Astyanax mexicanus: one gene and its partner. The protein of the gene in region 1 interacts with the protein of each later gene in a pairwise test. Links are inferred from orthologs where the notes say so. Each region holds a gene or a part of one and is shown on either strand. Other genes may lie near its edges. The genes, in order: MYCBP-associated protein and C-Myc-binding protein.

Region 1 (15,697 bases):
TTACGATAGCAAAGATGCACTAAAACGCCCTAAATCAACTGTGATTAGATCACTGAAATAAGGTCCAGAATATTAACAACTGGATCTTTAACTGACCAGACTTTCTTTTATCAAACGTTTCGCGTTTCTTGCAGCGTGAGTGAAAGCCTCAGTTATCGAGGACACGTGTACAAGGTTCACACGACACAAAGCACAGTATTGTGAGTATATATTGAAGCATATATTCATTCGTGATCTGCTACAGAAGCAGTCTCCAAGAAACTCTGAGTGTCTGAGGAGTAAAAATGACTAGCGCCTCTTCAGTTTGTAAAGAATGTGTGAGAAAATGATTGAAATGTTTAAAAAACAAAGAAAGATTCTGATGCAATAAAAAAAACTCTTGATATTGAATTCCGTGTTTTTGTAGTCGTTTTGCTATATTTAGTGATACATTTGTGTTTGTTTGGAGTTTATAAGCATACAATACATATTCTACTTAGTTTTTACATTATTATTCCTTTAGACACTTAAAAAAAATGAAATAGACAAAATGTTTCTCCCTCTCAGTATTGCAGTTAGATGGAATTAGGAAAGTTATATAGAATAAAGTTACTGTTTCTTCTTACAGCCCAAATCACCAGTTTATACATTTCAAAATATGTCATAAAATGTATATAACCCCACGGTTATATAAAGATATCTAATGGGATTAGCCACCCATCCCTACTGTACTTTTTGTAATAATAATTTTGGGTATGTATGGGATTTAAAAGAGATACAAAAACATTGTCTGTTTTGTAATGCACTATGTTGTTACATCTGTTATCTGTAAAATTTTCAACAAAAAGAAATACGTTTATAATGTTTTTGCTTCTACTGAATGTATGAAACTGTTACATTTATATTCAACAAAACCCTAATGTTTATTTTGTTCCATTATCTTCTTTTAATCAATGTTTTTTACATTTCGCCAAGAATATCGGTATCATAAAAATTCCATGAAATATTGTAATATTATTTTAGGGCCATTTTGCACACTAAAAAAGTAAGTAGAGTACAAAGCTTGTCTCTGCGGCTGTACATTATATTCAGGTACAAAAAAGTACCTTTTAGTGAAAGTCCTTTTTTGTACCCATGGTTTTTGTGCCAGTAAAAATTATAAAGATTATAAAACATTATCATCAACTAAATATGGCTCAAAAACTTGGTGATCCAAAATTGTCTGGCTTTCAAATAAAAAATGTGCAATTTAAATATATATTGTTCATTAGTACAGTGATACAGAATACTGAATGTACCTTTTAGCTGCAGGTTAAATGGTACAAATCTGTATTTATTGCTGTTAGAAATTACTTTGTACATCAGAGGGAACAAATCTGACCCTGTAAAGACCAATATTGTACCTTTGAGGGTACGATTATGAAGAGTGTACCTCTGTTTTTTAGAGTGTGCCCAACCCCTAAGGTTTCTATGAACAAGTAGATTCAGATTTCCACATGCTCTCAATTGTCTCAAACTTTTTACTTTACAAAACAAGCCTGATGCTAAATATGTTAATCATGTCAGTTGGGCTGCAATTAATTATTATTTTGGTAGTCGACTAATCTGATGATTATTTTTTGATTAGTCGATTAGTCAACGATTATTTCTGCCATGTCCTTCATCTCTAAAAATGATTAAAAAAAACAGCTGAACATGAGATTTAAAAGGCATTTAAATGTCTGGATGTTGTTTAAACGTGGAAAGTTCTGATATTTAGTAAGTAAATATGTCATCTGTTGTGTTTGGGCACTTTTGGAGACACAGAATAAGCTGAGTGTAAACTGTGTGAGTGAGACATTTACCCGTTATCTCCCATTGCACTTCTGTCTCCAGCACTTTGTGTAATGCAGTACTGTTAAAAATGAACGATTAATCGACAATGAAATTTGTAGTCGACAATTTTAAATAATCAACATTGTCGATTATATCGACTAATCGTTGCAGCCCTAATGTCCAGAAACAGCATTAAAGCAGATGCCTTCTATACAGAATCTTTTACAAGGTTTTCCAGGCATTTTCCAACAAGACTATGCAAAAGCACATGCTGCACAGATTACACAGGCATGGCTGTGGAAAATGAAGCTATGGGTAATGGGCTGACCCTTCACTACTTGTTATACTCAGCGCAACAATATCTTATAAGTGTTGTGAGAAGGAATGCCAACATTATAAACTGGTAAATGCTTTAGTTGCTCTTTGAGTTCACCCCACTTAACTCAACAACAAACAGAACACTCAACCAGCAGCTCAGTTTCCTCTGCTGAGAAGAGTTTGTTGGACACGTCCAGGTAGCTGCACCGTTACAATAGCAATCCACCAAAGACAGAGCTCACCTGATCTACTCTTAAAGAGAATGATGAGCAATAGACACTCTGATTGGTTTATTTCATGTTACGCCCAAAATTAACCACACCCATCATTAATTAAGAGAATTAGTACATGCCTTTTGCGCTGCTTTTCGAGCTACGCAAGGAGTACTTTTATCGTTGTTACGATAGCAAAGACACACTGACACACCCTAAATCAGGCTGCACTATTCACTATTCAGGTGGGCGATGTGGCTGTAAAATAATATCACAATATTTCATGGTATTTTCACGATAACAATACTTTTGGCGATAGAATTTTATTATTGCATGCAATATGATATGATCCAATGATCAATGATCCAGAATGTCATGATACTAATTATAATAATAATGCACTCCAAATATCTCCATATATTCAGGATTAACGTAAAATAAATGATACTGGAAAGATATAATCTGTCTCTAGTAGATATATAATGGGAAATGAGAACAGTGTGAATTTTTCTTTTGCTAAAAACAGAAAAAAAGTAGAACCCTGATGTGATAATTAGGGGTGGATGATATGGTACCATATTTCAGGGTATAATATCGTTTATGATATTTTAAATATTTGGCGATATTATCACGTACGATACGATATGGCACACCCCTACTATTCACCATTGACCAGTGTGCTATAGATCACTAAAATAAGGCCTCCTGGGTTCATACTGTCTCTAATCATCAGCTCCAGTCCAGCTCAGGCTGCCACTACCAGGAAATAGCTATTAACCAGCAGAGAAAAGAGGAGGACAGCGCATTACAGAGACACTGATAAAGAACTGCATGACCTGAAGAAACATATCAGAACGAGAGAGAGAGAGAGAGAGGGAGAGAGAGGGAAGAAGCTGAATGCCAAGACAGAGAACATTTGAAAGAGTCGACCGAGGACAGAAACCAGCGACAAAGAGAACTGGCAGCTCTCGGAGAGAACATGAAGAACAGAGTCAGAATACTGCAAATTACTGACACCTCCAGAAAAACACACCTACGCATGCATTGTTTCTACTGAAATCAGGGGCGTTAAAAGAGTTTATCGTGATTATGTTTGTTTTGCTTTAGATATTACTAGATTCTGGATTGTACTGCATTGTATATTAAGAACCTGTATAACGGGGCGTACGAAAAAAGTACTCTACTGTCTCTACTGTTCAGAGAAGACTAGACTAGACTAGATACTAGATACTACTAGCATTTAAGCTATAAAACACTTAAGGTACGTGTTATAAGGTGTAATATTGGCACTGCTGTGATGGGGTCGTAGGCACGAGGGCTCAGGCCGAGTATAGATTAGATCAGCACAGCAGTGCCAATATTACATGTTATAGCACAAACCTCGAGTGTACTATTGCTTAAATTCTGGTAGTATCTAGTATCTAGTCTAGTCTAGTGTTCTCTGGACAGTAGAGACAGTAGAGATTATACTACAGTTCCATTATCACTGTTTATTAAAGATTTTAAAAAGTTAATGAGGAGGGAAAAATACAATCTGTTTGGTTATAAAAACTCTGCCAGTTAAAGTAAGCTCTGGATTATCATTATATAAATCTAAGCTTACTGTAAATAAACTTAAGAGCTTTACTCACCCAAATAAACAGTTTTCAGAAAAGGAATCTGTGTAGATTAAAGTCCAGCACACCTTTAACTTTAAAAGAATTTGTGTTTTTAAGAATTAAAGTTGTGTTAACTTTAATTGCTGCCCCCCAGCAGCAAAACCTGCAGAATTACAGAAAAAAAGTTTCCACGTCCCTATTCATTCACAGAACTGTGGAAAATGTTCTGGGAACGTTAAGAAAACTGTGCAGGTTCATGTTAAGGGACAATTCCAATTCCAAGGCAACATTCTGGGAAGGTTTTGTTAATGTTACATAAAAGGTTGAGGCCACATTCTGAGAAAATGTATAAATGTTTAAGCCCCTAATTTGTGATCCTTAAAAGGCAGTGTTACCAAATTGACATTACTGTGATATTCTCAATATATCATCAATATTTTCCTGGTATACAATAGCATATAAAGGACAATACATATGTTGCAATAATTGTAAATGTAAATGTAATGATTCTCTCTATAGAACCTAATCCTAAACACCTAAACCTAAACCTAAACCTAACCTCAATTGTGAATCAACCGTAAAACCGAACCCTTATCAAAACCTTAACCTAAACTTTAAACCAAACCTTAAAATGTTAGCATTTGGGATTGGGTTAGCATCAGAGTTGGGTCAGTCAATATAGAAACATTTACCTTTAAATGTTAGTTAAGCATTTGTGAGGCGTCTATAATGGACCATCCAAATAAAGTGCTACAAAAAAGATATTATTAATACAGACAAATAGATATGTAATATTTTTAAACATGCAGCAAACCCCTGCTGTAACCTTACTAAAACTATACAATTTTTTAATTCTATAAATTGGGCAGCTTTAGTTGAACAATCTGTCAAATACAGAATTCCATACATTCTGTATTGGGCTAGAACTGCAGGACAACAATTTTCAGTCTATTTTGGTCCTAAAAAAATAACTTTTTATAAGATACGGGTGTAAAAAACAGACTTTGCCTGTTCAAACTGAACAATGTAGGCTCACCTGGCTTCCCACAGAGGACAGACTGTGCTTTCAGAGAGATCTCAGACTGATAGAGATAGACTCTGCACTTAACAGTACACTCCAAACCCAATACAACTGACCTGTTCAAGCTCCGCCCACAAACATCTTCTGTCACAACCTGTACTGTTGCTGAGCAAAACAAGCTTTAGCAGAACAAGACCCTGGTACAACCTTTAAGAGACTGTAGCTTTTTATATTCCAGCTCTATATGTATTTTATATGTTCAAAAAGCATTTTCAGGAGTTGGGCTCTGACCCTTAGTTTTAGTATAAAAAAACTCTTAATTATTCAGTATACCAAACGATTTTGAAAAATTTCATGCTCATATTATTGGAGGAACAGTTTGGGGATGACCCCTTTCTATTTTAACATGACTAATTCACATTAGTGCACAAAGCAAAGTCCATAAAGACATGGATGAGCTGGTGAGTTTGGTGTGGAAAAACTTGACTGGCCTGCATGGAGTCAAATGGAGACAAAGTTTCATGAACACACTCCTAAACCTTGTGGAAGGCCTTCCCAAAAGAGCTTTCTCTTTTTATGTATATAAAAAGTATTCACTCATCCATTCATATCATTAATTCATATCAGTAAAACAATCGAGAACAGTAGTTGTCTGACTGCATTGCACATATTGTAAAGTTTGGTAGAGGGGGGATAATTATGATTATAGTGTAGGGATGTTTTTCAGGCGTTGGGCTTGGGCCCTTAGTTTTACTCAAATTAACTCTTAATAATTCGGTATACCAAGAGATTTTTTACAATTTCATGCTCCCAACTTTGAAGGAACTGTTTGGGGATGACTCCTTCCTGTTTCAACATAAAAAGCATAATGCACACCAGTGCACAAAGCAAGCTACATAAAGATATGAATGAGCTGGTGAGTTTGGTGTGGAAGAACTTGACTGGCCTGCACAGAGTCCTCACAAATTCAAATAAACACACTCCTAAACCTTGCGGAAAGCCCTCCCACCTACCCAAAAGAGCTTTCTCTTTATATAGTATACATATATTCACTCATTCATTCACTCACCCTTTCATAACATTACTGAAAGAATCGAGAACAGTACTTGTCTGACTGCATTGTGCAAATTTTAAAGTTTGGTAGAGGGGGGATCATTATGATTATAGTGTGCGGGTGTTTTACAGGAGTTGGGCTCTGCCACAGTTAGTTCCAGTGAAATTAACACTTAATTATTAAGTATACCAAGAGATTTTGGACAATGTTATGCTCCCAAATTTGTTGGAACAGTTTGGGAACAACCCCAAAGCACAATCCATAAAGATATGGATGAGCTGGTGAGTTTGGTGTGGAAGAACTTGACTGGCCTGCATGGAGTCCTCACAAATTCCTATAAACACATTCCTAAACCTTGTGGAAAGCCTTTACATAAGAGCTAAAACTCGATGGGTTAAGAATAGGATCACTCCATTTCATACAGTATGTGTGCAAAGGCTAAACTTTAGCTAATGCGTGTTATTAAATATTGATTAACCCTTATTAAAATTAGAGTATTTAGAGTCTTCAGATTTTGTGCTCGGTCTAGCAGTGTACTTTGCAACCCAAAGAAAATGAAGCTGTCTGAGCACAGCAGGTTTCGTAACGCCTCTGCCTTTGCTTTTCATATGAAGGAAGTCTTTATAGATGATTGACCCAAAATGTTTTAAAGTAATAACAGCATTACGACACAAATTCATGCCGCTGTGTTTCAGATAAAACTATGCCAGTCCATAATGGAGAGACTGGATAATGAAGTCAGACTAACAGTGCCAGTCATTCACATTCGCCATCTCTTTCTTTCCCAATGTACCTTACCATAATCGCTTTCCAGATAGAAAAGTTTAGTGGGTTAGTAGGCTACACAGGTCAGATTTTACATAAACCATCATCATTGTTACCTCATTTCTGCAAGGCCAGAATTTCGCTCCAACGCTATCGCCCTTCACTTAAGCAAAATCCTGCTCTTTTTCAACTACAACATATTGAATTATTGTAAAATTACAGTCAAAAGATTGACCAAGGACACATCATTGTAACGTACCATTTTCTCTTCAACACTTTCTGGGTGTATATGCATTACTGACCATACTTTATTCCATACTGTCTTTTCTTTCAGTCACTGTGACAATTGTGGACCCAGTTAGCCAACATCCAGCTCTAGACAGGTTTGTAGGTTAGCTATCTTATGTCACTTCCGCCTCTGAGAAGTTTGTTCAGGACTAGACCCAACTTTTGGGTTGGTTTTTTGAAGTAAACCCCTGGCAATGTACCTGTAAGGTTCAGTGAAAGTTCTACTTTCACACACGTAATTTTTTTTCTACTGTGTCCCAACGTTCTTCCCTGCTACCACCATCTGGTTGCTCAGGTGATTGGCTCTGATCTTTGCAGGTCCAGATATTACCAAACCTAGGCCAAAAAAAGAGGCACATGCCAAAAACTTTACCAAGCTTTAACAGATCAAATTTGTTGTCTATCTAACTGTTAAGATTTTGGCAAGATTATAGTTTTTTGGTGTATATTTGCCTTTGAAGATGTCTGTTAGAAATCTCCAAGGAACTGGTTCTAGAGACCAAAACTCCACATCAGTCTTGACTTAAACTGGACTAGCAAACTATCGGTCTTGACTCAGACTCGGCTCTAGTGAACTTGACTATATAGGAACCCAACCTTCAGAAAAGGAAAATCAAGTAGTCAGGTCTTCTACCTCCATGGTTCCCAACTCTAATCGATGAGTCATTTGTTGTGATACTGGAGGTCTGGTGTCCAGCGTAGTCTGGTGATTTCCTGCTCAAGCATATCACCTAAATCTGGTAAACTTTTAAGCCAAAGAGGAAGGGATTCGGTAGAGAAATCACCAACCTTAGGGACCCAAGTAGTCAGGTTTGCAAACCAGATCCTGGCATTATCACTGGGACCTTCCAAAAGATTTTTTCACATCCTTTCATCCAGACTGAAAGGAATTGGGTTTCATTTCTATTTTTTGCTGTTTAAACTTCAAAATCAATCTGAATATGCCAAAATGTTGATTTAGCTTGAGAGTCTGAAAATATCCATATACATTTAGAACAATCTGTGGAATTCCAACTTAACATTCAAACCAAACCTATGCCCTCTCTTCCGTCTACTGAAAACTACAGTTCATGCAGAGCTGCATTCACACTTATTTATGCTAACCTATTTATTGTTCCTGTTACAGATCCTTTTATCTGAACTAGGGCACGTCCTGCACCAGCTAAAGCCAAACGTTTTATTAGAGTTATTCAATCTGTGCAACTGACATATTAAATTATTAAACCCTGCAAGAACCAATTCACATCTTTTTGCCTTTTTACTGGGCAGGGAATTGGGTCAAGCCACCCATAGCTAGCTTGTTACGCTTCCTTTAGTCATTGCAACAGGTGTGAACTCTTGTTTAGAGCCAATGTCCAGCTGTAAGCAGGTAAGTAGGTTAGCAAACTTAACTAATCACTTTTCTGAGAGGTTTGGTCAGTACTAAACCTACCAAGCTAACCCAACAAGCAAGTCTTCAGTGAAGGTGGACTCAACTCTACTTTATACCTGATTACCTCTGGTTGTATCATCACTCTAAAGATTGTGTTTTTTTCAATGTTTCCAGCCACATTTCATTGGGGAGCTCTAATAATGGAAAACAAGCCAGTTACTAGGTGCCAAAAAGTGAGTAGAGTCCAGTACTAAAATAAATACTAAAATAACTAAAAACATCCAGCACCTATAGAACAATTAAGAATGGGAAAAAAATGACCTGTAGTCCACTGGGCCACAAGACATTCATTGTGGTTCTGAAGATTTGGGGTCCAGCATAGTTTGGTGATTTCCTGCTCAATCGTACCATCTAAGTCTGGTAAATTTTAAAAGAAGAAGTTGAGTTTGAGTAGGAAAATGACCACATTACACTGAAAAGTTCTAAGAAATGTGGATTTTTTTGCCTGAAAATAAATAATTTTGGTTTGAATATGTATGGCAGTATAAACAATATTGGGTTGACATCAACAATAGAGAGTGAAAAGGCAGGCAGGTTTAAACATCAAATGTAAAAATCTGGTAAAAAAGCTGGATTTTCTCAGTAAATTGATTTTTGTTTGTTTTCTTTGTCAAACCTAACCACTATTAGGCTATCCCCATTCGTTTTAACACATTTTTCAGCAGTTATCATATTATTACTGAGGGCATGCATGTAGGTATAAAGACTAATACATAGAGAGACAAATGGATAGAGAGATATATAGCTAGATAGCTAGCTAGATAGCTAGCTAGCTAGCTAGATAGATAGATAGATAGATAGATAGATAGATAGATAGATAGATAGATAGATAGATAGATAGATAGATAGATAGATAGATAGATAGATAGACAACACATTTTATATCAGCTTACAGTAATCATTTTATTACTAAGGGCATGTAATAATCGATAGACCGACAGATACATAGGTAGACAGATAGAATGAAAGTCAGTCAGATATAGATATAAATAAATATATATATATATATATATATATATATATATATATATATATATATATATATATATATATATATATATATATATATAGACAGACAGACAGAAAGTCAGTCAGACAGGCAGTCTGACACACAGAAAAAAATAGATAGACAGTTCTAAGATCGGGGTTAAGGAGATGAGAGTCCAGTATAAGAACTAATTTTCAGATAAATCAGATTTATAATTATTATTAGTCAGTTATATTGTGTGTCTGTAATCCCCCTCACTCTCAGACGCTTAGTCAGTATAATTAAATATAACATATTTGTTATATTAATAGTATTAGTCTGTAGTGTCGGTGTGAGTGCGGTCCTACCGGAGGGGGAGCGGGACCGGGGCTCTTTTTTACCCGGTTTACTGAGCGACTTCCCCGGACTGGCCATGCCTGCAGATCCGCGGTTAGCTTAGCCTCCAGCTAACAACCAAACACACAGCTCTAATAACCCGCCCTAACTACAGCCACAAACACACACAGCGCGCGCTCAACACAGAGCTTAATCACCCGGATATAATATACACGGGTTATAGAGCTGATACACACTACAGAAACTGTATAAACTAGCGATAAAACTCAATAAAAACAATAATAAACCCGCAGCCGGTTAGCTATAGCTCTCTCTGACTAGCACCTGCGGTATCATAGCAACGGACGCCACCGGGGTAGCCCTGGCAACGGGAGCTCGCGCACGAGCGCGCTCACCTTCACTATCACTGAACAATAACACTAATCTTATAGGATCTATCTATCTGTCTATCTATCTATCTGACTTTCTGTCTCTCTACCTACATTTGATCTCTCCGTCTGTCTACTTCTCTGTATGATATATGTATCTGTTTATCTATCTGTCCTATTTTCTGTCTTTCTGTCCATCTATTTATCTGTTGCTGTCTATCTGTCGCTCACCTTTACTGAATAATAACACTGATCTTATAGGAGCTTCTGCTATCTATCTATCTATCTATCTATCTATCTATCTATCTATCTATCTATCTATCTATCTATCTATCTAACTGTCTGTCTGTCTGTCTGTCTGTCCAATTATGTATTCTTCGGTCTCTTTACGTTTCTGTGTGTCTGTCTATTTATCTGTCTTTCCGTCTGTCTGTCTGCATGTCTATATATGTATCTGTCTACCTATCTATCTGTATGTCTGTCCGTCTGAATCTGTCAGTCTGTCCATCTGAATCTGTCAGTCTGACTTTCTGTCTCTCTGTCTATTTACTTACTGTCTCTCTCTCCATCTCTGTCGTCTGACTCTCTCTCGCTCTGTCTGTAAGCCCCTCCCACTGGGCGGGGTCTCGGTTTCTCCGGTATATTAACGGGGCGCGGGGCTCGTGCTCGGTACAGACCTGCAGTAAGGTACATATGGAGGTTCCGGTTCCCGCGCGCTCTCAACACCTGTTGATCGGCTACAAGCGCGCTGCGCAGCACCTGCTCTCCAAGGCCGGGATGCGCGTATTAAAGCTGCAGCGGAGCGCGAGCGCCGCCGCCAAGGACCCGCAGCGCTCCTCCCCGCTCGCGCAGCTCGCCGCGCTCGTGCTGCAGCGGAGGCGGCGCCGCCTGCCGCTCGAGTCCGCCGCGCTCGCGCCCAAGCCGCGGAACTGCCGGCGCGTGGTGGTGCTGGGCGCGCCGCGCGCGGGGAAGACCAGTCTTGTGCGACGCTTCCTGCGCGAGGACTTTGAGGAGCGGTACGAGCCCACGCGCGAGGACTTTCACAGGAAACTATACCAGATCCGCGGGGAGGCGTACCAGATAGACATCCTGGACCCGGCCGCCGAGCGCGAGTTTCCCGCCAAACGGAGGCTCACCATCCTCACAGGTGAGCGCGTGCTGATGCTTTACTAGTTACCTGTAATTTTTGTTTTTCTGCTGCCAGAAACAGAATTCTTTAAAAGAATAATGTTCTGTACCAGCGAATACTTTGGAAACTTTAAAAGGTACCAAAATATTACTATATTATATTATATTGAAACCACAAAGGTAACAAGAAAGTTATCTAAGAGAAATTAAATTAACAATGGTAGCAAATGTTTTTTCCTCAGCTCCACACAAGAAAAATATTTGACTTTTTATATTTAAAACAGAAGAATCCTATATTTCAACCTATTTCAAAGGTTCTCCATTATAAATGGTCCTAAGGCACTAAAAACTCTGATTCTGATTTTTTGATTGTGTTGAACCCTTTATTAGTTTTTAAGTTCTTTCTAATGGATTTTGATCTTTCTAATAGATAATGGATACTACAAAACCTTATCAAACTCTTTAAATCTGTTCAGGTGTGTTCTTTGAGATGAACCAATTGTAGAACTAAAAAAAAAGTTTGTAATGGAACAAAATATACTTTACACCCACTTTACACACTTTTAATTTATTAGTAATAATTGACAGTATTAATCAAAATTCTCAAGCAATACAATTCAGTAATGTTTAGTAATCTCTTAACTACTGAACAATTTAACAGTGTTTTTTAAGTGATTTTTAAGTGTTTTTAAGTTTTTAACTGCTGTTTCTACTGTGTAGGATAAATATTGACGCTAATCTGTATGTGTGTGTATATGTGTTTAGGTGATATCTTTCTGCTGGTGTTGAGTGTGGATGACCGTGACTCGTTTGAGGAGGCGCTTGCTCTGCGCTCAGAGATTTCCCAGGCTAAGACCGCGCTGCTGCGCTGCTCGGCGGAAGGCGCTCGCGTACCCGTGGTCGTCTGCGCCAACAAGACGGACCTGCCGGCGTCGGAGCGCGCCGTGTCGCGCGCCGAGCTCCTACGCGCCTTCGGGGGTAAAGACTCCGCCTGCACGCTGTTCGAGACGTCGGCGAAGGACGGAGGCGCCGGTCTGGAGCGGGCGTTCGAGGCGCTGGCGGCGCGGGCGGGGCTGCCCGTGGAGACCGGGCCCTCGCGCCACCGCAGACTGTCCCTACGGTCCTACCGCAAACTGTGGGGAGGTGGGGCAGCGGGCAGGAAGTCCGAGGCTCACGATACGCCGTGCGGCGCACTGCACCCGCTCGCCCGCCGCCCCAGCGTCAGCGCCGACCTCCGGCTGGTACTCGCCACGCAGGGCAAAAAGAGGACGAGCAAGACGGGAAAGAAGTGACTCTGAGAAAACAAGTAATTTGACTTATTGACTAAAAAAACTGACAATAGCACCAGTATTGTATTGTAGCAGACCAGCGGAACCATCAACACCCAAAGAAACCTTTACATGGTCCTGTACCTGGTCCTCAAATGTCCTGAAAAACCTCTTGTGAAAGCTCTTAGTCCTATATCATTTAAAATTAATGGGTTTTACAGCGCACCAACAAGTCACAGACTGTCTTCGGGTACTATATACTACCCAGGCAAAGATATATACATATCTATATATATATATATATATATATAGTAATGGTGCTAGATTGCATCTGAAAGTCACAGAACCATTTTCAGTACTGTAATAGAGCCAAAAGCATCAATGGCGTAACGATGGCATAGTTTAAAATACATCAAGCATTCAGCATGCCGAAACAAACCAGTTTATTTTGTAATTAGTATTTTCCAATTCCAAGTCTTGTTGTGTCCAACATGTGTTAATCTTAATCTAAACTCTGGAGTCTTGACTTCATTTGTCTATGATCTAGAACCACTTTGTGTTCACCGATAATGTACTGTATCTGCTTCTGTCTACACCTGAAGCAGGGAATTGTTCTGGATCTCCAGCTTAAACCAGATTTCGATTCTTGTTTGCATTCACACCGAACCTCTTCCTGTTTAAATTCCGGTACACTTTTAAACATGAAGGTTTTTTTCTTTTTTTTTTAGCTATATACCATAGAACAAGAATGGGCAGGCCTATAGAACAACTACTTTAGGTTCTATGAAGGACCAGACAAAATACAGGTTTAGACAGATGTTTTTGTTTTTTCTTTGACAATCAAGGTCACATTTCTGCTAGGAAACAGTGCTAGATTGACATCGAACTCCAAAATTTAGGTTGAACCAAAAAACTGGACTGATGTCAAAACCCATAATTTTTCTAGACGTTGAAATGAAAGAACAACAAAATCCAACATTGGGTTGACATTTAAAATTGAGAGTAAGACTGATGACAAAACTGTTAGAAATGATATTTGTTGGAAATTGGACTAAAGTCAAAAACATTATACAAATGTTTGTTTTTTAAAGAAGTTCACGTTGTACGGATGCTAACTTTATGAAGTTTAGCATACCTTACAACCTTACGTTGATTTAACTGCCAATAATAAAGTTGCAGTCTCATGTTTGCTAGATGTTTTCAGTAAAAAAAAAAAAATAGGATATCGATGTCAGCTGTCCTTACAATTCTACATTACAGTAACATTGGCATTAGACATTGCCCTGATACGGTTCTTCACACTGGATCTTTATGGTTCTTCTATAGCATTGCTTAAAGAAACCTGAATAGAACCTTCATATTCGAGAGTGTTAATGATATCCGGGTAACAGCACATGTGTGAATGTGTGTGTGTGTGTGTGTGTGCACGCATGTTTTACTTGAGATCAAACACAGACTGTATTACCATCAGTGTCCTTCCATCAGTATCAGTGTAAACACTGCTGTGCTGCTGTAGAGTTTATTATAACTTTATTTATTAATGAATTAATTTATTTATATGTTTGTTTGTTTGTTGATATGTTTATTGTTTGTATAGCGTCTGAACTGTAGCACTGATCCAGCACTGTAGAAGAAATGTGTGTGTAATTTATGGAGACTGCATGAACGTTCTGATCAGAGCAAAGATTTTCAATAAACGATTTTTATACTGAAAAATAACTCTGAGTCTGATCTGTGAGAGAGAGAGAGAGTGTGTTAATGACAGATAGTGTAATAGAGAGTCTGTGAGAGTGAAAAAGAGTGTGTAAGAGAGAGTGTAAGAGCAAGAGTGCCTAGAGAGCAAGAATGTAAGAGAGTGAGAGTGTAAGAGAGAGTGTGACAAAGCGTAAGAGTGAGAGAAAGTGTGAGAGAGAGTAAAAAAAGTGTAAGAGAGTATAAGAGGAAGAGAGTATAAGAGAAAGAGAGCACAAGAGAGAATGTAAACGAGTGAGAGAGTGTAACAGAGAGTGTAAAACAAAGCATAAGACAGAGAGAGAGTGTGTAAAAGAGAGAAAATATGAGAGAGAGTGTTAGAGAGAGAAAGCATAAGAGAAAGGTGTAAGAGTGAAAGACAAAGCGTAAGAGAGAGAGTGTAAAAGTGAGAGTAAGAGACAAAGCATAAGAGAGTGTAAAGGAGAGAAATGTGTAGCGAGAGAAAGAATTTGAGAGAGTATTAGAGAGAGAAACAGATAGAGCACCATAAATGGAAGCGAGTCTGGTACAGAGTGTAACAGAAATAGAGAGAGCTGAGCGATGTGTAAGAGCGAGAGAGTGAGCGCGAGAGTGAGTGGGTGAGAGAGAGAGAGTAGGTGGGAGGATGTACTATATGGGGAATCTGCAGGTCACTGACTGCTATTATAATATATTATATAACATTTTAGAGAAGGAAAAATGCGTGTCCAATAGCATCCTACATATTTACTATAATCAGGGATAGATGTGGAGATGCACATGCTATAGTAAACCAGATGATCTGAGATTAAGGTGATTTGAGGTGATTTAATTGGGATGAGAGGGAGCTTCACAGCATGAAGGAAAAGCAGCAGCTATTGTTCAGCACCTCCAGGAACTCCTTCCTTCAAGACGCTGAGAAAACTATTCTTGTGACTCTCCCTCATGAAGACACTGAGATTAAAATCTCACCAAGAGTATTCAGATCTGTACTCAAAGATACATGTATAAAGTTCAAAACAGAATCTGGTTTATTATTAAAAATGACATCACAGTTAGTTCCGATTGGCTGAAAGACGCTTTATGAGTGCCGTTATCAGCCGGTAATGCACTGTAACCGAAGCTCTCCATGTTTTACTCCGCCAAATACAGCTAACCTAGCAACAATGCAGCACTTACAAACCAAATACAAACCAAATGCGATGTCATTATATACCTCTGGGGGCCGTTGGAACCCATAGACACAGTGTAGAAACGCCAAGCCATGTCTCCAATAGGCGGCGCAGGTAAAGATTCAAAAATACGCATTATTACACATATTCACATATCAGTCACCAATATCAGGTTAAGAGCTGTTATTGTTAAAATAAAAGCATATAAGCGTTTATATTTTCCAGTTAATATTTTTGGGGCATTG
Region 2 (15,697 bases), on another chromosome or scaffold:
ACTCAACTTCAACTATAAAGTCTAAGAGTACTAGAACTCCTCCAACACATAGACCTAGAACAACCTCCACAACAGCTTCAACTTCAACTACAACGTCTAAAAGTACTAGAGCTCCTCCAAAACATAGAACAGTAACTAAAGCTTGATTTCCTGTTTTAGTGCCCCCTAGAGGCCAATCCATTTAAAACTAGATAATAGAAGTTCCCTAGATACCTATAGTGTGTACATATCATAATGATTGGTGAATCTTTAGCCTGTCAAAATCCAGCTGTACTGGGTGTACAAATTTGCAGAGAAATCTACAGGAAAGTTTACATCATAATTATACCGACCCGTATTGTACAACTCAAATGAAACTTTACAGGCAAGCTCAGAGTCTACTTCTTAACACATCTGTGAAGTTTCAGTTAATTTTTTTGGAGTATGTCTTCTTGAGTTTTAGATTTAAAAAAAAAAAATATCGATATGTGTTCATTTGCATTTTATAGCTAATTGGCATGCAAATCACAAAATTTTTAATTTAATTATTGACAATGAGCCTCTCTTGAATTGCATATTGATTTTTACAAGACAATTTCTCAAAAGTAGGTTTAGAACATTATGGTAATTAGCCAAAATCGTAGACGGAGCCTAGTGGTTCTATGACCTTTTTGATTTGTCATGACCCAGGGAACAATAAAAAAAAGGTTTAAAAAATGAGAAAATTTTTGTTTCCGAGATTTTTACGCAAACACGTTTCCACGCGCTATAGCGCCCCTTGAGGCCGATCGATCTCATTTCAAGCACCTGAGTAGCGGGAGGGAGTACTACCAGATGGTTTCATGCCTCTAGGCCTTACAGTTTAGCTGTGTTATCAGTTTTATGGCAGAAAAAGTATACTACTACTAATAATAATAATAATAATAATAATAATAATAAAAATCAGAACAAATACAATAGAGTTCCAGCACTTCGTGCTCAGACCCCTAATCACCTGCTCCAACTTCAACAACAACGTCTGCAAGTACTACAGTACTACACCTCTACAACAGCTGCTACAAGTTCGAGATCAACTACATCTATACCCATCATATCAACCACAGCAAGAACATCTACATCTTCTCAAACAACAACAACTGTTTAAATTTAATTACATAAAATTAGCCTTTTGTACTTAAACTCATTTTGTTGAAATAATAAACAATTCAATTTCTTTCTGTTCTCATGTTTCTTTAACTGAATTTACAATGAATAAATACTGAAATGAAGCCGAGCATTTACAAGAGCAGAGACTGACATGCCAATAAAAATTTAAAAACTATTTTTAATCATTTGAAATTAAAAGAAAATTTTATATAACAGTGAATAAAGATTAAAATAGGTAAAAACTAATCTTGCTATTTAATTGACACTAATAACAACTAGGGTAACATCTAGGGGGGAAAGTTTGATAAAGAACTTCAGGCTTGGAAAAGCGAAAGTTCTATGAGTATACCGATCATCACAGTTCTAACAACAAAAAAAATGCTTGAAATTTTTGATAGAAATGGATCCCTTCAGGGGACGTGTAATTTAGTTTAAAAGTGAAAAATTGACTTTTTTCCAAGGGTTGAAAAGACGTTGGTTTAAAGACTAAACGTCTAATTTAGGCTGACACTAAAAGGTGAAAAGACATTTTTCCAGTGGTTGAAAAGATGAATGTAGACACACATTATTTTTTGGTTAATTAACAGTAAAAACATATTTCATGTAGAAATGTCAATTGTTTATTTTATGTTTAATGATCTTTAAATTTTTATTTAATGCCACTTGTGTATGAAAACCTTTCACCCCCCCCCCCCCCCCCCCCCCCCCCAACAACCTACTGTTGCATAAGAAATTATTTGTAAGCTTATAGCTCTTAACTTTAAAATTTTAAGACATCCATGCTGTCCGTGCCACAACCCCGGACAACACACAAACCTTTCACAAATTGTAACCATGGAAAGTTTTTAAACTTAATGAAAAAAAATATTTATGATTAAAGAACCTTCTCGCTATCTAGTTAGCTAGGTTATCTAGTGTTAAACATGCAACAGTGAGGTTAAAATAGCTTTCACATGTCACCACATTTCAATATTTCAATAAGATCTAAAGAAGTTTCATAAACTTTTATCATACAATTTAAATCTAAACGATGAAACAAAAAAAAAATAACTATATACCATTTGCACTGATCATTCCTCACGGTCGGCCAAACAACTGGCTTTTTAACCTAACCAATCTATGCTAACTAGCTTAATGCTAGTTAACTCGGGCTCAGACTCCAACAAGGGTCCTATTTAACCTGGTTTGGTAGTAATAAAATGACACAAGTTACACAATAAAACTCAAAAATTGCAGAGTGGTGTTTTTTTTTAAACTTTACCTCATCTTAGCCTTATCAGCTAACCAAGCTAAGCTAACTAACCGGGCTAGTGTTAAGCTAGTTTAGTTACCTCAGGCTCTGGATCCACCACAAGTTCTGTTTAACTTAGTTTCATAATAAAAAATAAAATATATCTAGCTAAAGTTACACAGTAAAACCCAATCAATTGTCTTTTTTCCTCACAGTTACACAAAGTGTTGGTTTATTTTATTGGTTTATAACTATAATCTTGGTATCTTGGTATTAGACTTATCAGCTAACTAGGCTAAGCTAACTCGCTAACCGGGCTAGCGTTAAGCTAGTTCAGTTACCTCAGGCTCTAAATCCACCACAAGTTCTGTTTAACTTAGTTTCATAATAAAAAATAAAATATATCTAGCTAAAGTTACACAGTAAAACCCAATCAATTGTCTTTTTTTCTCACAGTTACACAAAGTGTTAGTTTATTTTATTGGTTTATAACTTTGTAATCTTGGTATCTTGGTATTAGACTTATCAGCTAACTAGGCTAAGCTAACTCGCTAACCGGGCTAGTGTTAAGCTAGTTCAGTTACCTCAGTTACCACAAGTTCTGTTTAACCCAGTTTTTTAATAAAAAATAAAATACAGCTAGCAAAAGTTGCACCATAAAACCAGGGAATGCGCTCTTTGCACAACTACTTCCCCATTCTCATCAGTGCTGCTCCAGCGTTTCCTGTTTGGCTTTTCCAATACACTCCTTATGGCAGTATTTTCAGCTGGTGTTTACAAGAGCTTCTAAAAATTAACCTCAACGTCCAGGAGACCAGTAAAGCCCACCACTAGTCTAATAATAATAATAATAATAATAATAATAATAATAATAATAATAATAATAATAATAATAATAATAATAATAATAACATTTATTAGACAAATACTAGCTATAATAATAAAAATGCTGGCTATAATAATGCCAACTATTATAATAATGATAGTAAAAATAATAATAATCACTATAAAAAGAATCATATACATGCTAGCAATAATAATATTAATAACAATAAAAATACTACCTACAATAATAATAATAATAATAATATTAATAACAAAAATAAAAATAGTCAAAATAATAATAATATCTAGCTACAATAATGATAATAATAATAATAATAATAATAATAACAATAATAATAATAACAATAATAATAAATATCTATAATAATAATAAATATCTATAATAATAATAATAATAAATATCTATAATAATAATAATAATAATAAATATCTATAATAATAATAATAATAATGATAATAATAATAATAATAATAATAATAATAATAATAATAATAATAATAATAATAATAAAAATATCTAGCTATAATAAAAATGCTAGGTGGTGGATCATTCAGGCAAGTACGTTTAGCTGATCTCCTCTCCAAATCACGTGGAGCCTGGGTGCTGTCACGTTAATTATTCCATTTAAAAAGCAGTGGCACTGCATGCTTTGCCAGTCGTCTCCAAGCTTCTGACGTTTTTGGTTTAACCAGGTAGTCTGGTATTAAATGTTTGCTACAGACCTTTCATACGGCGAAATGGTGAAGTGGTCCTGACTGATGTTCATCAGTCACTGTTTATTAGATCACTCTGAGCAGGGAAGCTATGAAAGCCTAAAGCTTCCATAAAACTTAGCAGACGCCGTGCAAAAAGGAACACAGCAGTGCTGAAAACGGCTTGAAAACCTCACGCTGGATACTCATTTTGACCTCTTGCTAGTACAAAATGTACGTTTTGCCTATACAGGCGAATGTAAACAATACAACCGGAAACGTCCGAGCCGCAACTTCTGCTACAACCTCAACTACAGGTCCAACAACCACAACCACACCTCCAACGACCTCAACCCCAGCTCCAACATCCTCAACTACAGGTCCAATAACCACAACTACAGCTCCAACAACCTCAACCCCAGCTCCAACAGCCTCAACTACACCTCCAATAACCACAACTTCAGCTCCAACAACCTCAACCCCAGCTCCAACAGCCTCAACTACACCTCCAATAACCACAACTACAGCTCCAACAACCTCAACCCCAGCTCCAACAGCCTCAACTACAGGTCCAATAACCACAACTACAGCTCCAACAACCTCAACCCCAGCTCCAACAGCCTCAACTACAGGTCCAATAACCACAACTACAGCTCCAACAACCTCAACCCCAGCTCCAACAGCCTCAACTACAGGTCCAACAACCACAACTACAGCTCCAACAACCTCAACCCCAGCTCCAACAGCCTCAACTACAGGTCCAATAACCACAACCACACCTCCAACAACCTCAACCTCAGCTCCAATAGCCTCAACTACAGGTCCAATAACCACAACTACAGCTCCAACAACCTCAACCCCAGCTCCAACAGCCTCAACTACAGGTCCAATAACCACAACTACAGCTCCAACAACCTCAACCCCAGCTCCAACAGCCTCAACTACACCTCCAATAACCACAACTTCAGCTCCAACAGCCTCAACTACACCTCCAATAACCACAACTTCAGCTCCAACAACCTTAACCCCAGCTCCAACAGCCTCAACTACAGGTCCAATAACCACAACTACAGCTCCAACAACCTCAACCCCAGCTCCAACAGCCTCAACTACAGGTCCAATAACCACAACTACAGCTCCAACAACCTCAACCCCAGCTCCAACAGCCTCAACTACAGGTCCAACAACCACAACCACACCTCCAACGACCTCAACCTCAGCTCCAACAGCCTCAACTACACCTCCAATAACCACAACCACACCTCCAACAACCTCAACCCCAGCTCCAACAGCCTCAAATACACCTCCAATAACCACAACCACACCTCCAACAACCTCAACCCCAGCTCCAACAGCCTCAAATACACCTCCAATAACCACAACTACAGCTCCAACAACCTCAACCCCAGCTCCAACAGCCTCAAATACACCTCCAATAACCACAACTACAGCTCCAACAACCTCAACCCCAGCTCCAACAGCCTCAAATACACCTCCAATAACCACAACTACAGCTCCAACAACCTCAACCCCAGCTCCAACAGCCTCAACTACACCTCCAATAACCCCAACTACAGCTCCAACGACCTCAACCCCAGCTCCAACAGCCTCAACTACACCTCCAATAACCACAAATACAGCTCCAACAACCTCAACCCCAGCTCCAACAGCCTCAACTACACCTCCAATAACCACAACTACAGCTCCAACAACCTCAACCCCAGGTCCAACAGCCTCAACTACACCTCCAATAACCACAAATACAGCTCCAACAACCTCAACCCCAGCTCCAACAGCCTCAACTACACCTCCAATAACCACAACTACAGCTCCAACGACCTCAACCCCAGCTCCAACAGCCTCAACTACACCTCCAATAACCACAACTACAGCTCCAATGACCTCAACCCCAGGTCCAACAGCCTCAGCTACACCTCCAATAACCACAACTACAGCTCCAACAACCTTAACCCCAGCTCCAACAGCCTCAACTACAGGTCCAATAACCACAACTACAGCTCCAACAACCTCAACCCCAGCTCCAACAGCCTCAACTACAGGTCCAATAACCACAACTACAGCTCCAACAACCTCAACCCCAGCTCCAACAGCCTCAACTACACCTCCAATAACCACAACTACAGCTCCAACAACCTCAACCCCAGGTCCAACAGCCTCAACTACACCTCCAATAACCACAAATACAGCTCCAACAACCTCAACCCCAGCTCCAACAGCCTCAACTACACCTCCAATAACCACAACTACAGCTCCAACGACCTCAACCCCAGCTCCAACAGCCTCAACTACACCTCCAATAACCACAACTACAGCTCCAATGACCTCAACCCCAGGTCCAACAGCCTCAGCTACACCTCCAATAACCACAACTACAGCTCCAACGACCTCAACCCCAGCTCCAACAGCCTCAACTACACCTCCAATAACCACAACTACAGCTCCAACGACCTCAACCCCAGCTCCAACAGCCTCAACTACACCTCCAATAACCACAACTACAGCTCCAACAACCTCAACCCCAGCTCCAACAGCCTCAAATACACCTCCAATAACCACAACTACAGCTCCAACTACATAAACTACAACTACAATCACAGCAACAACTACAGCTGTATCCACTACAACAACCATGCAAGAACAGATCCAGTTCTACCATGAGATTAATTCAAATCCTTAACTACAACTGATACAAGTGTAGACCGTGTTGGTGTGGTATTGAGTACAGTGTGGTTACTGTAGACCGTGTTGGTGTGGTTTTGAGTACAGCATGGTTACTGTAGACCGTGTTGGTGTGGTATTGAGTACAGTGTGGTTACTGTAGACCGTGTTGGTGTGGTATTGAGTACAGTGTGGTTACTGTAGACCAAACACCAACACCAGAAATGAAAACATTGACTGAAGTGACATTGCAGCAACGTTAGAGGAATGTTTAAATACGTTAAAACGATAACGCCGGCTGAACCTTCGACTATGCCTGCTTTACCTCCGAACACATCTGCTGCAACTTTAACTTTTTTTTTTTTCTTTACCTCAGTGTACTGGTTTAAAGTTACTGGTTTAGGAATAATTCATTGCATTTCACAATTATAATTTCATAATTTTTATTTATTTATTTATTTATTTATTTATGATTTATATTATATGAAATAATATTATATTATATTGTAATTAAATTATAATCTTTTTATGTACTATTTATTTATTTTGATTTATATTTCATAATTTCTATATTTTATGTGTTGTTTTATATATAGTTTTTTTATTTTTATATATTTTTTTATTTTGTTAAGCTATGTATTTATTATTTTATTGTATTCTTTTTTACATTAACATATATAATTTGTTGTGAGTGTATGTGGGCGGTTCTTGGTTGCCAGGGCGACGGTGTGTCGTGTTCCGGTGTTTGGCGCGGTGGGGTAGCGCGCATGCGCGGGCTTGGAAGGTAAGTTAGAAGGTTAGCAGCGGAGCTGAACTCCTGAACTCTGAGAGGAATTAAACCCGGAATGGCGCATTACAGGGTGAGTACCGGTCCAAACAGCACCGAACAGAACCGCACAGCGGTACACAGCCCGCCCGGACCCGAACAGCCGCGGAGTTTAGGGGAATTTATGGTATTTATGGTAGTTAATACCGGCGGAGAGATGCAGGAAGCTAAAGCTAATAATTTACCTCAGAACCGCCGCGGGTTCCGACCCAGCTCACAGCTCTTCCCTTCTCCAGAACACCCTCACAGCTCCCGAACCGCGGCCCACAGGTTCCGACCCAGCTAATATACCAGAACCGTCGCGGGTTCCGACCCAATGCAGCCCGTTTTACAGCTCCAGAACCCAGCTCAACTCTACCGACCACCTTAACCAGTTTAATTACTACTAATTACCTGTCCAGATACTAATTACCAGTGTAGATACTAATTTCCAGTTTAGATACTAATTTCCAGTGTAGATACTAATTACCAGTTTAGATTAGGGGTGGGCGACATGGCTCTAAAATAATATCACGATATTTCAGGGTATTTTTGCAATAACGATATACTTGGTGATATAGGAAAACAGAAATAATTTGTTAATTTTAGTAATATAGTATAATAGTATAACAGTATAATCATAATGTGGCAAAATAAATAATATAGCATAAAATAATATAATCCAGCAAATAATATAGCAGAATATTTAGTGCATGCATATAAACTGCAAACTAAAACAATTATACAATAAATACACCTAAAGCTTCACAGTAAATAATAGACTACTTTTAAGACAGAACAGCCCTGTTATCACGATATGGATTTTTATATCATGATATTTCTGTGTCACGATATATTTTATACGATGTAATATTGCCCACCCATAGTTTAGATAGTAAATTTCAGTTCAGATGCTAATTACCTTTGTATATAGTGATTACAAGTGTAAATACTAAATACCAGTGTAGTGTAGATACTAATTACTTTAAATACTAAGGACCCATTAGGGGTGGGCAATATTATGTCGTATACAATATACCCTAAATTTCCTTCGGGATAAATAAAGTATCTATCTATCTAGTGACAGAAATATCATGATATTAAAAATCCATATCGTGATAATAGGGCTGTTCTGTTTTAAAAGTAGTCTATTATTTACTGTGAAGCTTTAGGTGTATTTATTGTATAATTGTTTTAGTTTGCAGTTTATATGCATGCACTAAATATTCTGCAATATTATTTGCTGCATTATATTATTTTATGCTATATTATTTATTTTTATCAGATCTTTACCTGCCTGTATAACCAGACCCCTCCCCCCACTGCACACCTGTGTCTGAGCCAGCTCACCTGATCCCACGATAAGTGATGATTATCTGACCAGTCCTTCACCTGCGCCTTTATTTTTTTTTTCTAACTGCGTTTTGTGTGTAGAAGTGCTGAGTGAAATAAATATAAATAAAGAATTCTGGTCTGATGCTGTTATACACATTTATAACTTAAAGAGAGACTACACACACCGGTACAACTTTATAACTTTATCAATTTATTGAAAATATATTAAAATTAGCTTAAATCAATGCATTTCACATATACATATAGTTATACATAGTTTTTTTTCCCAGATTATCAAACAAACATGAAGATAATCTGAGTAAATATAGGAATCACTTTTAAAATGATAATTTCATTTATTATGGGAAAAAAACAGGCCTGATAACTGCCAGAACTGCACTATCAAGAGATCACTTCATGTCTGGGTATCTGTTCGTGACCTCAAGCTCAGGAGTACTTGGGTTCTGCAGCAGGACAATGAACCAAATCACACAAACAGCAAGTTCACTGTCTCTGAATGGATTAATAAACTAAATGAAGGTTCTGGAGGGTTAAAGTCTGATTGAGATTGAGTATTATTGTTAATTTATGTATTTATTATATGAATGATGTGTTTCAGGCTGCAGAGTCGAAGCGTGAGCAGTTCAGGAGGTACCTGGAGAAAGCTGGAGTTCTGGACAGTCTCACTAATGGTGTGTTCTGCTCTATACAGCTCTATCTGTTATAGTTATAGATGTATACAGCTCTGAAAAAAAATAAGATTCCACTTATGATGATGATCACAAACCATCAAACCACCAAACTGAACTGCTTGAATTTTTGCACCAGGAGTAAAGCAGCATAAAGTTATCCAAAAGCAGTGTGTAAGACTGGTGGAGGAGGAGAACATGATGCCAAGATGCATGAAAAAAACTGTGATTAAAAACCAGGATTATTCCACCAAATATTGATTATTTCTGAACTCTTAAAACTTTATGAATATGAACTTGTTTTCTTTGCATTATTTGAGGTCTGAAAGCTCTGCATCTTTTTTGTTATTTCAGTCATTTCTCATTTTCTGTAAATAAATGCTCTAAATGAGAATATTTTTATTTGTAATTTGGGAGAAATGTTGTCTGTAGTTTATAGAATAAAACAACAATGTTCATTTTACTCAAACATAAACCTATAAATAGCAAAATCAGAGAAACTGATTCAGAAACTGAAGAAGAGCTCTCTATTATAGAGAGCTTTGTATAATACTATATTCCGTATATTTTTGTAGAGTGTTCCGTCACTAATCATTTCCCCTTTTCTAACAGTGCTGGTGGCTCTGTACGAGGAGACGGATAAACCCAACAATGCTCTGGAGTATCCTTTATCCTCTGCTGGGTTACATGTAGAGCTTTATATCACAATTACATTGTTTTACTCAATACTATATAAATAAAGGGCACACCTTAACAAATTCACTTTTAAATGAAATTATCCAACATCTCTGCTGGATTTTCTCAGTCAGTTTTATGAGGTAGAGTCACCTGGAATTCAGGCTTTCAGTTAACAGCTGTGCTGAACTCATCAAGAGTTAATTACTTGAATTTCTTGTCTCTTAATAAAGTGTTTGAGAGCATCAGTTAAAGTAAAGTAGTTAAGAGGTAGAGTTACAGGTATACAGTGAATAGTGAATATTTGAGTAATGTTCTAATCCAGATTATGAGAAGCAACAACTACTCAACTAAATAAAGAATAAATTACGTTAAGAAGAAATGAAGGTCAGTCATTTAAAAAAAAAGAAGAATTTCAACAACTGATAATGATGAAACTGGCACTTATCAGGACTGTATATGAAAGGAAGAGCGAGAGTTTCCTCTGTTGTACAGGATAAGTTTATCAGAGTTTAATCTAAATACTTCACAGAGTATTTTGGTTTGTTTAACACTATTTTTAAGTTACTACATGATTCATTATGTGTTCCTTCATAATCTGATACATCACTTTACTATTCATTTACTGTGTAGGAAAGCTGTGTCCAAACTTTTGACTTGAGTAAAGTATCTGTACATTACTCTAGTTTCCAGTTATTAATATCAGAACTCTGGAATTAATGCACTCCTCAGAGATACGATAAATACAGATATCCAATTATTGTCCAGTTCTATTCAGATGGTTGTTAGATAAGGTAGTATGGAGTTAAATTAGTGCTAAATCTATGCAAATAAAGAAAACATATTCTGTAAATATTATACTACCTGCAATGATACACAACACATGTTATATTTCTTTAAGAGCAATGTATTAGAAAAACTGAACGCTGTGTATTTATTTAAAGGTTGCATATATATATATATTTATATGTTTACATATATATTTGTAAAACACACCCTGTGTGTTAGATAGTTGTGTTTTATATTTGTAAAGCGAGTTGTGTTTGTTTGCAAGTAGTATAATATTTAAAAATAAGTTTTCTTTATTTGCGTAGTTTTAGCACTAATTTAGCTTCATAAGGTCAATCAATCAATCTTTATTTTAACTCGGATGTACATTGAGGAAAACCCTCATTTTTAATGTAGCCGAGCATTTACAGAAACAGGGATGGCAGAGAAAATAAGAGCAAAATGTAATTATTTTAAAATAACGGTATATAGTGTGTAAAAATAGATACAAAAATAAAAATGTAATTAGAATAAAATACAAATAATAATTAAAAGGTAGTGTTGGCAGGGTGTGATGTCTGTAATTGTGAGCGGGCAGGTACCTGAGTTCCCGAGAGAAGCGTTGTGGTCCTGAGTCAGATCTCCCGCAGGTTTATACGGCTGCACCTGAGCACAGGTGAGCCGGACTCCGGCGACGTGGAGACGCTGTGTCTGGAGCTGACGGAGCTGCAGCAGAAATACGACGCTCTGCTGGAGGAGAACCGAGACCTGAAGAACCGGGTAAAGCTGATTATACACTAGATAACTTCAAACAGACTCCGAAAAAAGACGTTAAAAGACTAAGTTCTGATTCTCATTCACATCTAAAGACTAACGCTACGTTCACATTAGCAGGCTAAAGTGACTCAAATCTGATTTTTTCACGGTTGTGTGAACATGCCAATTATGATTTCTTTTTTTCTTTTTTTTCACAAATCAGAATTAAGTCACTTTAGCTACATTCACATTAACAGGCTAATGTGACTTAGATCTGATTTTCTGATTCATGGTTGTGTGAATGTCACTTTGACTACGTTCACATTACCAGGATTAAATTGACTCAAATCAGATTTTTTAATAATAATAATAGGCTCAGGTCTAATTTTTTTTCACGGTTGTGTGAACGTACCAAATCTGTTTTTTTTTTCTTCAAGTCATTTTGACTTTACCAAGATAAAGTGATTTTTTGATCAATGTGGATCAGATCTGATTTTTTTCCATGACTGTGTGAATGTTCCAAATCTGATTTTTTCAACTCAGATTTGAGTCCCTTCGGCTACGTTCACATTAGCAGGCTAAAGTGACTTTTTTCACAGTTGTGTCAATGCACCAAATCCAATTAGTTATAACTATTATTTCCAAATCAGATGAGAGTTATTTGGCTACATTCACATTACAAGGCTGCAAAAAAGAAAATTATCATGTAAAAAGTGATTTTTTTATATTTAATCAGGTTATATTTGTTCGATTAAAGTTCTGATTTTGTTTGATAATCAAAAAAATATCAAGTATGACAAAAAAAAAGCAAAGGCCAAAGAAATCTGTAAGGGGCCAATACTTTTTCCACACCTTTACTGTGTATACTTAAAATTATAATTTTAAAAAATAATGTCCTGTAATATCTTCAAGAATATCATTATCACAAAAAATCATTTTGATTTATCAGATTTATAGACTATAGTAATCAGAGTGTGCTGCTTACATCACAGAACAATTTTATAGACTTTACTCTGATCTCAGAATAATCCGATTTTGCTGTTTACACAACTAATAGAATAAGCGTATAGCTGCATAAATCTGATTATAATTGGATGTCTGATTACATGTGAAGAAACAAAGAGCCCTATCTGGATGGGATTAGTTTTTTAGGCGGTTCTGGGTAATTTTCTCTATTTTATGTTTTTTTTTTTTATCCTCTGTGATTTTATTCCCGTCCAGAACGATCATGTTTGTGTTTTTCTCAGACGTCCTCTGAGAAAATTACAGGCTGAATTATCTACTGTTTTTCTCTGAACTCCGTGCTCCTCCGGTAATTTTAGTCCTGTCCGGACGCACATCTCTGAGTTTCGTCTCCTCGCCTTTAATAAAATAGATATTTATCCACTGCCGCGCACCGTAATTACACTTTGGGTGCGCCACGGTTTCCATGGAGATCCACGTTAAAAACACAACAGCGACTGGAAATGGAGGAGCTACTGAACACCGATGATGTCATGTGATCGAGAAAGATTAAAGCCTAAAAACTCACTGGTCCTCCTGTTTTTACAATTGCATTCCGAATTCAGAAGTTGTATCACAGAGTAGAAGTGTGAAATATTTTACACAGACTCCGCTTTTGGATAATTTTGATATTAAGGTTCTAATGTTCTGATGGTTCTGTGTGGTTCTGTCTCCTGCAGCTGCTGCAGTACGAGCCGCCGGTGGAGGATGGAGCAGCAGAATGAGGATCAGGAGGATCTGGGTTTAGTTATTGAGTTTATAGAGTTTATAATTAACGCTGTGTGAAGAATGAGGGGGTAATATTTCAGTTTTTTGATTCCTGCACTTTTATATTACGTTTTTTACAAAACTGGGAATGGTGAATTTTTGTTTGTAAAACGAATGTGGTATTGAATTTAGTTTCCTAAACACCTACACTAAATATATTATTGTTTCTGCATCACTTCCTGTGTCTGAGACTCGTTTCTGTTCCTTAAAGAAGAAAAACTAGAATAGGAGAACCTCTGTCTTACACTATACACAAGGCACTCGTGGTTCAAATAGAAATAAAAAACACTTCATGCTTCCTATACTTTTATTGAGATGCTGATTTCATTTTCCAGCAGGACTTGGCACACTGCCAAAAGAACCAATTGGTCTTAAATAATATTCTAATATTCTGGCTGTAAGATATAGTCATCAACAATAAAATAAATAAACGCTTAAAATACATCACTCTGTGTTTAATACATCTATATAATGTATGACTTTCACATTTTCAACTGAATTACTGAAATAAAAAGTCACATTTCAATGATTTCAAATATTAATTTTTTTGAGATGCATTAGTATTGTGTGTGTGTGTATATATATATATATATAGTGTGATCAACATAACAAAGTGTACAAAAGTGTACAAAACCAATTTCATTATTACGCACAAACTTTTCCTATTTGTTTAAAAATGAATGTGTTGTTCACAAGATGCTGCTGTGAGTCACTACATGATGTGGTGTTTTTTCTTTTGAGAAATTAAATTATTATCTGAAAACAAAGAGAAAAAACTTTAGCATTATATATTCTAAATATAACAACATGCATCACAAAATCCACTGATGAATATTACTGATGAACCCAGGCTAATAATAAGTTAATTCCAGTCATTTCGTTATTAAAGCAAAGTTTCTAGAGTTGAAACACAACCCTTAAAACCTGAATCCAGGTGTTTGATTTAGTCCCATTATCACAGGTGTATAAAATACAGACCCTACAAGTGAAAGAGAGGGGGCGGAGCTAAGAAGGATGACACTGGGTCGGAAACCGAAGTTGATGTGCTTGTTAGATTGTATTCTGTACGTTATTTAATCCGGTTACTTTCGGTTATAAGTCTGAACTGTCCAAAAAAGTGTTTACTCTGCAAACCAACCAGACTATTGATCGGTAGATAACATTTTTCCGATCAAATTTTTGTCCTTTGGTCCAGACGGTGGTCTGAAAATTAAAAATCTCTGGACTGATCAATAAGTGTTCCGAAACGGTAGTCAGAGCTGCCATCAAAACAGCTTCTGTAGGTGGAACGTGGAGACGTCTCAGAACTTGTCCCTGGGTTAGATAATGCTTTAGGGCAGGATTTTTTTCAGATCTGCAGGTCTGTGGCAGCTCTCCTGCTGCTGACACTGCTGGCCGGCGATGTCCTGCGGTTAGCAGATAGAGCAGGACTGTGGCGTGAGTCCGAGCTCCTGTCCGCTGCAGAATCTGGCGTCTGTGGTCGACTGGACCTTCTGGAGTCCAGTTTAGGGAAGGACCGGCAGTGGACTACAGGTTGACCAACTCGTGGGTGAATTCCTGCGCCCGCTAAGCTGCTGCAGGACTCTTCGCTGTCGGAAGCGTTGCCTTCCATCACAGTACTGCAGTTCCATGGACCGCTGACCTTGCGGGCTCTGCGGGTGGTGTTAGTTGGACAGGTGGTGGGACAGGAGGCGGATTCAGTTACCAGAAGCGTTGGGTACTCTGAACTTTCGGTCTCAAGCTCCTGGGAGTCCTCAAGGAGTTGTTCGGGTTTGTCCGCACGAGAGCGAGCCTCGTTGCTGGTGTTGTTGGAGTTGCTGTTGTGTTCTGTGGGACTTGGACCGCTGGTCTTGGGGTCCTTCTGACCATCTGATCCTGGTCTTCCTCCGGCATGACTCTCCAGCTTGACAGGCTGGAATACAGAAGACCCGCTAACCAGAGGTGGGTAAGCCGGTCCGTTGGCTTGCTTCTCGTGCAGCAGCGTGTATCCACTCGGTGCGGTCGGGATCGTCGATTTGCGCCCTTGGCTGATGCACACTTGGTGCACCACTGAGTTCTTTTTGGACTTGGCACCGTAGCAGTCATCTAGATCATCCTTTAAGTGCGGGTAGAACTCGAGAATTCCCTTCTTGATCTTCTTGTACGCAAGGTGCAAGATCTCCAGCAGGCTGAGGAAAAGGGAAACAGCGGCGATGATCTGCATGAACACCATGAATACGCTTTTCTCGGTTGGACGAGAGACGAAGCAGTCCACCACGTCCGGGCACGGCTCGCGCTCGCACTTATACAGCGGCTGCAGCTGGTTCCCGTACAGGAGTTGCTGGC

Evidence for each region.
Region 2: the proteins of MYCBP-associated protein (region 1) and C-Myc-binding protein interact in binary tests that used the Homo sapiens proteins (3 or more experiments, as listed by UniProt). The link is inferred for Astyanax mexicanus from reciprocal best matches to the Homo sapiens genes MYCBPAP and MYCBP.

What each region holds. Positions count from the first base shown.
Region 1 is NC_064428.1:37,595,289-37,610,985, reverse strand, and holds the start of MYCBP-associated protein, read right to left. Parts: upstream 10,139-15,697; 5' UTR 9,885-10,138; coding exon 9,818-9,884; intron 1-9,817. Other genes in the region: si:dkey-27j5.5 (dexamethasone-induced Ras-related protein 1), read left to right, coding at 10,868-11,321, 12,068-12,594. UniProt on the Homo sapiens protein: May play a role in spermatogenesis. May be involved in synaptic processes.
Region 2 is NW_026040049.1:697,669-713,365, forward strand, and holds C-Myc-binding protein, read left to right. Parts: upstream 1-7,309; 5' UTR 7,310-7,419; coding exon 7,420-7,434; intron 7,435-9,333; coding exon 9,334-9,406; intron 9,407-10,015; coding exon 10,016-10,064; intron 10,065-11,496; coding exon 11,497-11,626; intron 11,627-13,284; coding exon 13,285-13,329; 3' UTR 13,330-13,547; downstream 13,548-15,697. Other genes in the region: gap junction alpha-9 protein-like, read right to left, coding at 14,721-15,697. UniProt on the Homo sapiens protein: May control the transcriptional activity of MYC. Stimulates the activation of E box-dependent transcription by MYC.